2 linked regions of the Callithrix jacchus genome follow. The protein of the gene in region 1 purifies or fractionates together with the protein of each later gene. This does not show direct contact. Links are inferred from orthologs where the notes say so. Each region holds a gene or a part of one and is shown on either strand. Other genes may lie near its edges.

Region 1 (6,261 bases):
AACTATTGAACAGTACTTTCGTATCTGTTTTTGAGATAAACCAGTTTACATGTAAGAGTTGTGAAGTATTGGTTAACCTTTCTTTTCTTAGACATGATCTTAAAGCTTAAAAGTGCTTCAGCCAGATTTTCAAAACTATTTTGTACAATGCGTGATGTAATCGGGTAGTAACTCATAGCTCAAGGTGGATTCCTAAACTCGAGGTAGAATTTTGCTTGCCTAAGTTAAAATTTGGATTTTTCCCCAGTAGTTCATGCCAAGTATAGAGGGAAGAGTTTATCTCCTTTAGTACCTCAGGTATGTGCTTGTAGGTGCTTTCGTTTGCTTGTTTGTTGTAGTAAAATGTACACAACAGAAAATCACCATTAAGTGTGCACTTTGGGGACATTAATTACATTTATGTGGTGCAATTATTGCCACTATCCATCTCCAAAACTTTTTTATGTTGGAAAATTGTAACTTTATGCTCATTAAACAGTAGCTTACCGTTCTCTCCTTCATCCCAAAATGCTAGTTTTACCTATCGGTTTTCTGCTGTTCTCTTGTTCCAAAGCATATTTAAAATCAGTCTCATTTAATAGGGTTAATATTTTGAGGAGGCCTTTAAAGTGGTGTGCAGTGAAGTGGTGTTCATTTCAGTCTGAAGACAGTTCAGATATTAAGTGATCCAAACAACTGCATAAAATATTTACACACCTCACAAATGGAAAGTAACAGCTTTAGTTCACATCCAAAAGGTGGCCAATAACTATTTGTGCCATGGTTGAGGTTTTATGTTGAGTGAACCTGGAAGAGCACACTACTTGCCTTGATGGTCACATTACTTTCAAAGATAACAGGCACTAACCAAAACTTAATCTCCTAAATTATCTAATTCGAAATTACGCTCTTGGCCGAGAAACAGATCATTTTGTCTGTTGACAAAGAATATTAATAAACGTGCCCTTGAGATTCATGCTGCAAGACTGGTAAAAACGTTGAGACTTTGAAGTAGTTGCTTCATTATGAAAACTGCTCATTTTTTGACATGTAAATAACCCTTAGAGTGTGTGTGATCCAGTAACTTTTTTTTTTTCTTCTAGGGAAGAACAGTGATTATTGAGCAAAGCTGGGGAAGTCCCAAAGTAACAAAAGATGGTGTGACTGTTGCAAAGTCAATTGACTTAAAGGATAAATATAAAAATATTGGAGCTAAACTTGTTCAAGATGTTGCCAATAACACAAATGAAGAGGCTGGGGATGGCACTACCACGGCTACTGTACTGGCACGCTCTATTGCCAAGGAAGGCTTCGAGAAGATTAGCAAAGGTGCTAATCCAGTGGAAATCAGGAGAGGTAGGAATGTTTGTTGTCACTACAGTGTTCTAAACTTCAGTATACTTTAAGGCATTAATTCCTTGAACCTAAGGAAAGTGTTTGTTACTGTAGGAAATTGATCCTTCTCTCATTCCTCCTCTTGGCCTAGAGAAATCTTAAAGTGGGTTTTCCTTTAGTAAGTAGTGATTGAATGCCAGACTGTGTGGTGGGTGCTGTTAGGTAATTTTGATGTTTTACTTAGTTGATTTCTTTTGTTTTTAGGGACAGAGTCCAAGCCAGACCACAGTGGCACAGTCATGGTTCACTGTAACCTTGAACTCAAGCAATCCTCCTGCCTCGGCCTCCAAGTAGCCGAGACTGTGGGCATTCACCACCATTCCTGGCTAATTTTTAGTTTAGTTTTGTAGAAAGTAAGACTAGACTGAATCAGAAAGTAATGTTTTCCACAATTTATTTTTTCTTAGCACAAACTGTGTTATTGGTTTGTTAGTGCTTGTAACTGGAGTGTAACTTAATTTGCTCCTCACCATGAGCTTCATGGCAGTATGAAGCTGATAAATTTTAGTCCCATCTTTTGTCATTTATTAGCTGTGTGCTAAGACTTGGTTTTCCTATCACCAGAATTGCTATATGTATATCTAGAGTATGTTAGGGTTCAAACCTGGAACCCTCTTGAGAGTCATGGGGGTGGTGCTATTGATAATTTTTTTGTCATAATTGACATACTGATGTATTACTACATTACTAATATATCATTACCTTATCTATTTCAGTGTTTATGGGTCAAGTGAATACACTGCACTTAAGCAGTTTTACTGTAAATCACTAACATATTAAGATTAAGAGGACTTCCCAACACCTTGCATTGGATTTTTTTTTAAGTATATCTCTCAAACAGGAGAGCTAGCACTATTCCCAGTTAAGCAAAATGAGACTTAAAAAACTAATGTATAACAAATATTTTGTTAGTTCATAATACATACTAAATTAAGTGAAAGAATTTCAAATAATTGACACCTGTAGAGACATAGTCACAACAAATTCCTATCATTTAAGAACTATACTTGTTGAAAGTAAGGGAGTGTTACCCATTTTGGTCCTTTTTTTGCATCATCTGACAGACATGAAAAGTGTCAGGGACGGGCAGCATGATTGGGTTAGAAATGATTTGCATAGGATGAGTTCAGTGGAGAGACTCTTGGAACTGTACACATCTGCCTTGTTTTAGTCCAAGCATAGATACATGCCTGTAAGTACCAGCTACATGGGAAGCTGAGGTGGGAGGATCGCTTGAGCCCAGGATTTCAAGACCAGCTTGGGCAACATAGTGAGACCTAATCTACAAAAATAAAATAAGCTGAGCATGGTGCCTTGAGCCTATGGTCTCAGCTACTCCCTCGAGCCCAGGATGTCAAGGCTGCAGTGAGCCATGATCTGTGCTACTACACTCCAGCCTGGGCGACAGAGCAAGTGCCTGTCTCAAAAAAAATTTTTTTTTAAGTCATTAAAATATTTGTTATGAATCTCAAGATTTCTACTTGACATAGAAGCCCTGAGAGAAATAAGCATTGTAATGACATACATTGTTGAACTAGGTGTGATGTTAGCTGTTGATGCTGTAATTGCCGAACTTAAAAAGCAGTCTAAACCTGTGACCACCCCCGAAGAAATTGCACAGGTAAGGACTTAATATGTTACACTTTTTTTAAAAAAATTTATGGCATGTGTGTTTTTTTTTTCTCGATCACACCAATGTCAGAATAACAGTATTACCTAATCGTCAGTATTAGACTCATTTTTTCTTACTGCTAAAACATTTGAAAAGAATTTTGACCATAATGATTGTCATTTAGTTCTATGTGTAGCTGTCATTTTACTTCTATGTGTAGTTGTCATTTTAGTTCTACATGGCTGTAAAATGGATTAGTATGATTGTGAAAATGTTCTTAGCCATTGTCAAAGGTGCATAAGTTTTGTCAGTTAGTAGTATCAGATTTGCCATGTAAAAAGATACATATTGTTAAAAGAATAGTTTTATATATCATGTTTCTCAAAACAGTGTAGTTAATGAATCAAAAAAGAGAAAGAACTAGTACTTCATGAAAACTACCATATCGTAAATTTTCTCCCTGGAATGTAAGTGTCAGTTTGGAAGTTACTGGGAAAAGATGAGGGAACTGACTGAGGGCACTAGCCTTACCTTTTAATTCAACTTGACTATTTCAGGTTGCTACAATTTCTGCAAATGGAGACAAAGAAATTGGGAATATCATCTCTGATGCAATGAAAAAGGTTGGAAGAAAGGGTGTCATCACAGTAAAGGCAAGTGTGTTTGTGTTTTTAAAAATAGTTTGAATGAGTTATCTGATGATCAAAACTGAATTTTCCAAGTAGAAAAATTTTATGTGTTTTAAATACTGTGTGGTTTCATTTCTTTATATGTGGTCTCAGCACATGTATAGAACAAAGTGCTTACTGTGTTTTACGTGAATTAGCCTTTGCTTTGTGAAATGAATCCATCCTAACTTAAATATTGTCTAGCCATAAGAATTATTTAAATAAGCACTTTTGGGATTTTTGCAGAAGTGAAATTGGATATCCTGGGTTTTTTCATACTCTAGCCTATATTCCTAATGACCAAAGGGGTCTATTTTTGTTAATCTGGCCTGTAATTTCATGTTTTGTGTTCATTGAAATCCGTATACCTAATTCTTTGTCTTTTCATAGGATGGAAAAACACTTAATGATGAATTAGAAATTATTGAAGGCATGAAGTTTGATCGAGGCTATATTTCTCCATACTTTATTAATACATCAAAAGGTAAAAACAAATCTTTTAGACAGAGTCTTATTCTCTGTTGCCCAGTCTGGAGTGCAGTGTTGTGACCTTGACTTACTGCAACCTCCACCTCCTGGGTTCAAGTGATTCTTGGGCCTCAGCCTCCAAAACAGCTGGGATCTAAGCATGTGCCACCATGCCCGGCTAATTTTTTAATTTAATTTAATTTTTATTTTTCCTTAATTTATTTCTTCATTTTGAGGCAGAGTCTCACTGTCACCCAGGCTGGAGTATAGTGATGCAATGTTGGCTCATCACAACCTCTACCTCCCGGATTCAAGCAATTCTCCTTGCTTAGCCTCCCAAGTAGCTGGAATTATAGGCAGGTGCCACCATGCTCAGCTAATTTTTGTATTTTTAGTAGAGATGGGGTTTCACCACGTTGGCCAGGCTGGTCTCTCTAGCTCCTGACTTTAGACAATATGCTCACCTCAGCCTCCCAAAGTGCTGGGATTACAGGCATGAGCTACCGTGCCCGGCTACTTTTTGTATTTTTAATAGAGATAAGGTTTAGCCATGTTGGCCAGACTAGTCTTGAATGCCTGGCCTCAAGTGATCTCCCTGTTTTACCCTCCTAAAATTTTTTAAACGTACTTTCCTAACGTGTGTCAAACTATGGATGTTAGTTGGTGTCATCCTCTAAAAAAATAAATGTGTGTATTCCAGAGATAGAGTCTTGTTCTGTTGCCAGGCGCCAGGCTGGAGTGCAGTGGCACAATCTCAGCTCACCGCAGTCTCTGCCTCCTGGGTTCAGGCAGTTCTCCTGCCCCAGCCTCACGAGTAGCTGGGACTACAGGCGTGAGTCACCACGCCCAGCTAATTTTTGTATTTTTTGGTAGAGGCAGGGTTTCACCATGTAGGCCAGGATGGTCTCTTAACTTTGTGATCCACCCGCCTCAGCCTCCCAAAGTGCTGGGATTACAGGCATGAGCCACCGCACCCAGCCTGGTCACTTTTTAAGTGTGTTGGAACCTTGGTTTAGCTTTTCATTTAAATACATTGTATTCATTTTGTGTATTTTTGAAATCTTCATTATTTTTACAGGTCAGAAATGTGAATTCCAGGATGCCTATGTTCTGTTGAGTGAAAAGAAAATTTCTAGTGTCCAGTCGATTGTACCTGCTCTTGAAATTGCCAATGCTCACCGTAAGCCTTTGGTCATAATCGCTGAAGACGTTGATGGAGAAGCTCTAAGTACACTTGTCTTGAATAGGTAATAGGCAGTGGTATTTGATGATTTATATTTCTGGATGAAAGAATTATTTGTATTGCTGTTTGCAGTCTCCATTATGTGTACCTCCACATATGATCTACTTGGGTTTTTATCTAGAATTGTATTTGTATAAATCAGATATGCTCTGTGTATCTTCATATTTGTGTTTTTGAATGGGACTCCCCAGTCTTTACTATTTTGTTCAGCTTTCTCATAGAATAGACTAATTTAGCCCATGGGTACCTTTCTTTATTTTGCAAGTGTTTACAGTTATTTTGAAGGTATGTAACTGAATCTTGTTTTTTTTGTTTTTTGTTTTTTTTTTTGAGACAGTCTCACTCTGTCGCTCAGGCTGGAGTGCAGTGGCTCAATCTCGGCTCAAGCCTCCTGGGTTCAAGTTTGAATCTTGTTTTGTTTTTAAGGTTTTTCTGGTTAAAAATATATACATTTTCAGAATATTATTTTGGCTGGAACAGGGAAGTAAACAGGTAACATTCTAAACAACTCAGTTGGGCCAGGTGGGTGGCTCACCAGAGATCAGACGAGATCAGCCTGGCTAACATAGTGAAACCCCGTCTCTACTAAAAATACAAATAGTAACACGGCATGGTGGCCCAAGCCTGTAATCCCAGCTACTCACGGGCTGAGGCAGGAGAATCACTTGAACCCAGGAGGCGGAGGTTGCAGAGAGCTGATACTGTACCTCTGTCTCTAAATAAATAACTCAGATGTAAGTGTATTTCGCTATCAAATATTTTTATTTATTTTGAGGGACAGACTGTCACCCAGGCTGGGGTATGGTGGCACGATCATAGCTCCCTGCAGCCTTGAACTCCTGGGGTCAAGCATTCTTCCTGCCTCAGCCTCCCAAGTAGCTGGGACTACACTTGCA
Region 2 (6,905 bases), on another chromosome or scaffold:
ACCTGGGCATACAGAAGAGCGTGCATATGGGAGGGCAGGGGGATGGGCGTGGGTGTGCACAGAGCAAGCACATCTGAGATTGGCATGCGGGCCAGAGCCGCTGTGTTGAGGGATGTGCTGCACTTCACAGGGAGAAAGAACCTGGCAGAACTTTACGTACAAGTGTGTCAGAACGCACACTCCAAGGTGTGCTCTGTGGTTTCTGTCCTGTCTTCACTGGGTGCAGGGCTGGAGGCCTCCCAGGTGTTCTCCTTGGTCCTTGTTGAGCTGCCCACTGTAGTATCCACAGTGCCCAAGTTCTCGCTGGTTCTGGCAATTAAATCTCAATCCTTCCCACTGGCTTAGACTAGACTTAGGAGGATGCCCCTCGTGTGACCACAGTTTGAGATTTATACCATGTACCGCACATAGACACAGAAACATCATCCTGAAATAAAGAGTTCTGAGCAAAAATATATGTGTGAATATGTATGTAAACTGTTAAAGTGGCTCACGCCTTAACCCCAGCACTTTGGGAGGGCGAGCCAGGCGGATCACTTGAACCCAGCCTGGCCAACAATGGGAACCCGTCTCTTAAAAATACTAAGTGTTACCCCAAAACCTAAAATGGAAAAAAAAAAAAAAAAAAGATGTGACCTAAAAAAAACACTAAGCGTGATGGCTAAGCCCCTGTGCTAAACACGGTGGCCCACGCCTCTAATCACAGCTACCCAGGAGGCTGAGGCACAAGAACTGCTTAAACCCAGGAGGTGGTGGAAGCTGCAGTCAGCTGAGATCACACCACTGCACTCCAGCCTGAGTGACAAGAGAGACACTCTCAAAAAATAAGAAATCAGGTAAAGGAATATTAACTAGAGTTAGAAACTAATTTCATTCCTTTTAGAATTCAACACTTTTCCTAGGTCACCACTTCTGTCTTTCGTTCTTACTGAGGAGCCAAGTCAGAGCCCCCTTCCTGGGAGTCAGTCATTAAATGGATTCCCGTCAGCTCAGCCCAGGGGAGGCAATGTTCAGGAACAGGAAGTGCTTTTGTCTGGGGAAACACGCAGGTGATCTGATGCTAGGGAGGAGCTGCTTGCATGTGGGTAAGAGCCCAAGGGGAAGCCACTGGTACCTGAAGGGCTGAGCCATCAGAGCTGGGCCTTGGTGCAGCCCCAGGAGCAGCAGCCTGTGCAGAACTAGGAGCTCAGTGGATTCTCCCTCCTATGTCACAATCCAGCAGGTGGCCAGGACTCAGCCTGGGTTTTCAGTGAGTAATTCCTCCTCACTAGTCTCAGAGATTAGCTCTAGCGGTGTCACTGGAGGAAGCCCTGGGGCTGGGGGGCAGTGTGGGGACAAGGAGACCAGAGAGAAAGTGCTAGAATAGTCTGGAACAGATGTTTCAAAGTCAACAGAACATGACCACCTTCAGAGGAAGAAGCTGGGCCATCTCCAATAAACCCAGAGACAAGTGCCTTCAATCCTCGGACTGTTCCAACAGAGGGGATGCTGTGTACCCCAGGGTTACTTTTCCAACTCATGTCAACACCTGCAGTCCCTTTGAGGAGACTAAAATGTATTTCATGCTGAAAATAAAGGACAGGTTTTCTCTAACTAAAAACAGCCGTACTAAAGGAGACCAACATGCTAGAAGTATAGCACCAGGGCCTCAAGACTGCACTTCAGGACACGAAGAGGGCTGGGGGCTGCTCGGCCCGAGTCTGGATCTTCTAACCAGGGATGCTGAGCTTGCCCTCAGACAGGGACTTGGCACAAAGAAAGCAGACCCAGTCTGGGATTCTAGTCTGTTTCAGTTCAAGAGGGTCCCTGTCAGAAGAAAGCTTTTTCCATTCCGAGCTTCAGCAGAGTGAAGAGTTAAACACAGCAAGCAGGCAGGCAGGCAGGCAGCTCCTTTGCATATGTGTCGGGTGCCCCTGAATGTAAACAGCCCTACCAGTCAGCACAGCTCATAGCCTGGGAAGACAGTCCTGTGGCAGCCTCAGATGTCCGCTCAGTTCACATATTCTGGTTTGACCAAACATGTAAACCCGCCCAAGCTGTCTTCAGGCATGAGGTCTCATCAGAGATGGGATGTGGATGGCTCCTATGTCACCATTTCCTGCGTGGGGCAGCCGTCATCCTATTTGTCTGGTCCATCAAGCTGGAACACAGAAGACAGAGGTATCAGTTGTCTGTTAACATATCCAGGCAGCCTGCAGATCTCTGGTCACACAGATCTAGCTGCAGATATGCAAAATATTTCACAAAACAAGCTGCTTTCTGCAAATGATGCTGTTGTGCTGGGCTGCGAGGATCCCAACAGGCCTGGGCAGAACAGGGTGGCTAAATGGAGAGCCTCATTCTAAGGGAATTTAAGTACCCAAATCAAGATTTACTGATGCTCATGTGCTTAAAAATATTCACTATTTGGAAAAGTAACCCCTAGGATAGTAAATAAAAAACAAGAAACTCTAAAATCATAATACATTTCACAAAAATTTCTGTAAAATTATACAGTTCAAATCCTGTTGGGCCACTTCCAAAAATCCACAGGAGCTACCTGGGTTACAATCTGCTTTTTTTTTGAAAATAGGAAGTTGGGCCAGGTGTGGTGGCTCACACCTGTAATCCCAGCACTTTGGGAGTCTTAGGCGAGTGGATCACTTGAGGTCAGGAGTTTGAGACCAACCTGACTAACATGGTGAGACCCCGTCTCTACTAAAAATACCAAAATTACCCAGGCATGGTGGTGGCCGCCTGTAATCCCAGCAACTCGGGAGGCTGAGGCAGGAGAATCACTTGAATCCAGGAGGCAGAGGTTGCAGTGAGCCAAGATTGTGCCATTGCACTCCAGCCTGGGAGACAAGAGCGAAACACTGTTTCAAAAATAAATAAAGGAAGGTGTAGCAGGAAAAGGCTCCCTCAAAAAAAGCCTGCTAGGCTGATCTAAGATCTCTGCTACCTCATGAGCTGGCCAGGAGGCACTCGCCTCTCAACGTTTAAGCCTCATGTTAGCTGGGTCCCCTGCTTCCATAATGAAGTGATCGTGACTGGTAAAAACTCTGCCTGCAACGGGAGGCTGGGGGTCTTTGACTGGTGGAGGTGAAGAGAGTGCTGAACCCGTGGCCCTGAGCCACGTGGCAGGCACAGCTGTGGGCAAGGAAAAGGAATCAGGGTTTCCTGATGTCTGCCTTGGAAGACAAGAACATCAGCTGTGATACATTCTGGTTGACACGGTTTGGCTGTGGCCCCACCCAAATCTCACCGTGAATTGTAATAATCCCCACAAGTCAAGGGCAGGGCCCAGTGGAAGTAACTGATTCATGGCGGCAGATTTTCCCCGCACTGTTCTTGTGGTAGTGAGTCTCACAAGACCTGGTTTTATAAAGGGCAGTTCCCTGCACACATCCTCCTGCCTGTCGCCTTGTAAGACGTGACTCTGCTCCTCCTTTCCCTTCCACCGTGACTGTGAGGCCTCCCCAGCCAAATGGAACTATGAGTCCATTAAACCTCTTCCCTAGATAAATCACCCAGTCTCAGGTATGCCTTTGGTAGCAGCATGACAACAGACTCATACGCTGGTGAAATCCCCTTTGGACAGTGTCACACCTGCCTGTAATCACAACACAGGACTTTAAGTGCTTCATGCTACCTCCCATTGAAAACCCTTAATACCAAGGCTATACATGCTACAGGATTCTCATGGGAAAGTGCATTTTCCGTAACCTCACTTGTTTACAGGCAGTTTGGAACCTCTTAGAAAGCATCAAGGCTCTCTCTGGCTTTCCTCAGTGGTTTATAATAGATAGATGGCTTTCATAGCAATTACTTCCTGAAAGCATCACTAGGGTGGCCTTCATCCCACACAGGTGCAGAGAACTTTAGCTTCTCAAAGTGCTTTAACCCATATCTCAGAATCATTTACCAGGCCTTTGAGGTGCACTACTGGCTGCTCTATTTCAGGGTGAAGCTAACGCCTGTAGTGTGATAAGACGACAGACTCATCAGCCCCGAGTGCCTGGACCGTGTCCCTCCTGGCCCTGTTAGCATGTTTCTTCATCTCTAAATGAAGGTATTGCAAGTAATGCCCAGTCAGGTCCGGGCAGTGCCTGGTGCATGATTAACAGCATCGTCAGCTATCACTGTGTTACCATACCAGGGAGGAGGGCAGCCCCTTGAATGGCGCTGCTCAGCAGTCTGTACCTTCCCAGTTTCCCGCTGGACAAGGTCCCGCATCTCTTCTGTCCAGCCCAGAAGCTCCACTAGCCTTTCCACACTCTGAATCAGGTCCCCCAGCTGGGTCACGTCCCTGCTGCGAGGATGCCAAGCCAAGGTCCCCACCAAGTCCCAGTTGATGAGCAGTCGGGGAACTGAGCTCCGCACGGCCTCGGTCAAGCTGGCAAAAGGCTCCACCTGAAAAATGGCCCAAACGTGAGGGACACAGTGTCCACCCTACAAGCCCCTCAGGATGTTTCATGCCACAGCCACTGAGGCCTTGGAGGAGCAGCAGACTGGCAGGTCCTGTAAAACACGGAAAACCCACCACCAACCTGATTTCTTCAGTTGAGCTCCTGCCACCTGGCCTCAGTGACTCTGCTTCCTCCCCTCAGTCTCCCTCTCCTTCACTTCTTGCTGCTTCCAACACATCCTGGCCTCTCCCTACCTCCGGTTCAAGGTTCATCAGGGCTCCATCCTTCCTACCTCTTCCTTGTGAGCGCGTTCCATTCTCCCTGTCCTCCCCACCACGCTGTCTCCCAGCATGCCACGGAGGGACAAAGGACACTCGTCCGTCTCCTCTGGCTAGCCCTGCTCACTGTGACGGCCACCACCAGCCTCTGGCACAAGGAGGAGCTGGTGCCCCCGAACATCTCTCCATGGTCTTCACCACACAGCCTCTCAAGAGGCCTAACTTGGCGCCATCAGGCTTCTTCATACAGTTCTCAAAGCTTCTTTTAAGAGGAAAAATGTAAAACATAGATACATTAATAAATAGCATTAAAAATGGCTCACTATCTGGGGGGAAAATGCTCCATTCCCACCTCCCGCTGTAAAAAATTCAAATAAAAATTAAAAACAGTTCTTGAAGAAAATGTAGGGTTTACGAGTAAGGAAGAACTTTTTAGGCATGAAAACTGAAGTCAGGTTCCTTCCTCCTTCCCTCCTTCCCTCCCTCTCTATCTCTAAGTAAAAATTTAAAAAAAAGAAAGGAAACTAAAGTCAGATAAGGCAAAGGAAAGTGACAAATCTGACCATGTGAATACTATTACCTTGGTATCTACATAAAACTACTATGTAGAAAATTAAAAAATTTAAAAAACCTCTCATCATCATACACTGCAAAAATATTTACAATAAATGATAATAGTTTATATCACTAATGGATAAACTCATTTATAAACATATAATTTACTAATTTATAACGAAATTTATATTAAGGCCTGGACACGGTGGCTCACATCTATAATCCCAGCACTTTGGGAGGCCAAGCTGGGCAGATCACCTGAGGTCAGGAGTTCAAGACCAGCCTGGTCAACACGGTGAAACTCCGTCTCTACTAAAAATACAAAAATTAGCCAGGAGTGGTGGTGGGCGCCTGTAGTCCCAGCTACTCAGGAGGCTGAGGCAGGAGAATCACCTGAACCTGGGAGATGGAGGTTGCAGTGAGCCGAGATCGCACCACTGCACTCTAGCCTGGGTGTGAACTAAGTAAGACTCTGTCTCAAAAAAAAGAAAGAAAGAAATTTATAATCAGGAAAAAGGCTATTTTCATTTCACTTCAACAAAAGAGATGGCTGGTGGCCTGAGTGTCCACACCTGATGGCCAGCACGCTCAGCTCGGCTCAGTCCACACACTGCTGACCACCATGGCCCCTCTAACTGTTCCTCCTGTGTCTGTCCCTCCATTCTAGGCGTAGCATGGGCATTCTCATGCCCGTCCACACCCTGGGGTCTCCTATCTGCTCACTCCCAGCACCTCAGCTCTGTGGGAGAAAAGGCTCGTAAGTGCCAAAGCAGGAGACTGAAGCCTCAGTCCACTCCCGTTTAATAAACAGAATACAGAAAGAAGAATCTAGTTAGGAATAAGTATCGTGAGTCATTACATATCCGTCTTATTGAATATTAAGCCCTGATTAAAGCCTTCCTGTACTTTACGCATAATTTTCTAGGAACGTCAAGTTGCTGTGGTCAGGGACTGACAGTGGACACTATGGGATGTGGCCACAAGGCAAGAGCATCGACTGCTTTGATCAGCAGAGATGATCTGTGGAATGTGAAGCCAAGCCCTGTCACACCCACATAAGGGATGCTGGAGGGCATCAGAAATCTGTAGTACTGCCAGTGCTTGCGGAAGCACCTGCTACTCAGCAGGCATTAGAAGGGAACAGTCCCTGCCCCTGGGTGAGTCCGTACCCTCCACTCCCCCACGTGCTTGTGGAAGGACTGATACTGGTCAGCTACCCAGGGGCTTGTCTCTGTGTGGTGCTGTGCTATACTGGTTACAATCTGTGCCTGCTCTCACTCCCTGCTTCTGCACCTGGCTCCCCTTTTGTAGACAGTAAGAAGTAGCATAACTTTTGAAGCCTTTGTTCTTACTTGAAAGGCATAACCTAAAGTGCTAACATCTCGATGCCCCCACCCCCGCTTCGGCTACTTGCAAGCACTGGGCCCTTTGTTCCTTAGACTCATGACCCTGCTCCCCAGTTTTGTACCCAATGAAAGTCAGAGTGTCCAGGCACTCAGGGCCACTACCGAACTCTGCATACTAGGTGGTAGTGGACCTCTGGGCCCAACTCTTTCTCTTGATCTCGGTGTCTTGTGTCTATTTGTCTCTGCACCCGTAGAGAATACCCTCTAGACCCAGCAGGGCTGGACCCTATACAGCTCCTGCCACTGGTCCTTCCTGGACTCTGGACTCTGGACTCAGG

The links.
Region 2: the proteins of HSPD1 (region 1) and SIRT3 purify together in Homo sapiens (affinity purification with mass spectrometry; 3 studies listed by BioGRID and IntAct, counting the BioPlex papers as one, with this or other methods). This does not show direct contact. The link is inferred for Callithrix jacchus from reciprocal best matches to the Homo sapiens genes HSPD1 and SIRT3.

What each region holds. Positions count from the first base shown.
Region 1 is NC_133507.1:118,454,641-118,460,901, reverse strand, and holds part of HSPD1 (60 kDa heat shock protein, mitochondrial), read left to right. Parts: intron 1-1,082; coding exon 1,083-1,335; intron 1,336-2,912; coding exon 2,913-2,995; intron 2,996-3,543; coding exon 3,544-3,639; intron 3,640-4,044; coding exon 4,045-4,138; intron 4,139-5,200; coding exon 5,201-5,369; intron 5,370-6,261. UniProt on the Homo sapiens protein: Chaperonin implicated in mitochondrial protein import and macromolecular assembly. Together with Hsp10, facilitates the correct folding of imported proteins.
Region 2 is NC_133511.1:131,712,959-131,719,863, reverse strand, and holds the end of SIRT3 (NAD-dependent protein deacetylase sirtuin-3, mitochondrial), read right to left. Parts: intron 4,393-6,905; coding exon 4,183-4,392; intron 2,835-4,182; exon of another isoform or gene 2,717-2,834; intron 2,141-2,716; coding exon 2,120-2,140; 3' UTR 1,359-2,119; downstream 1-1,358.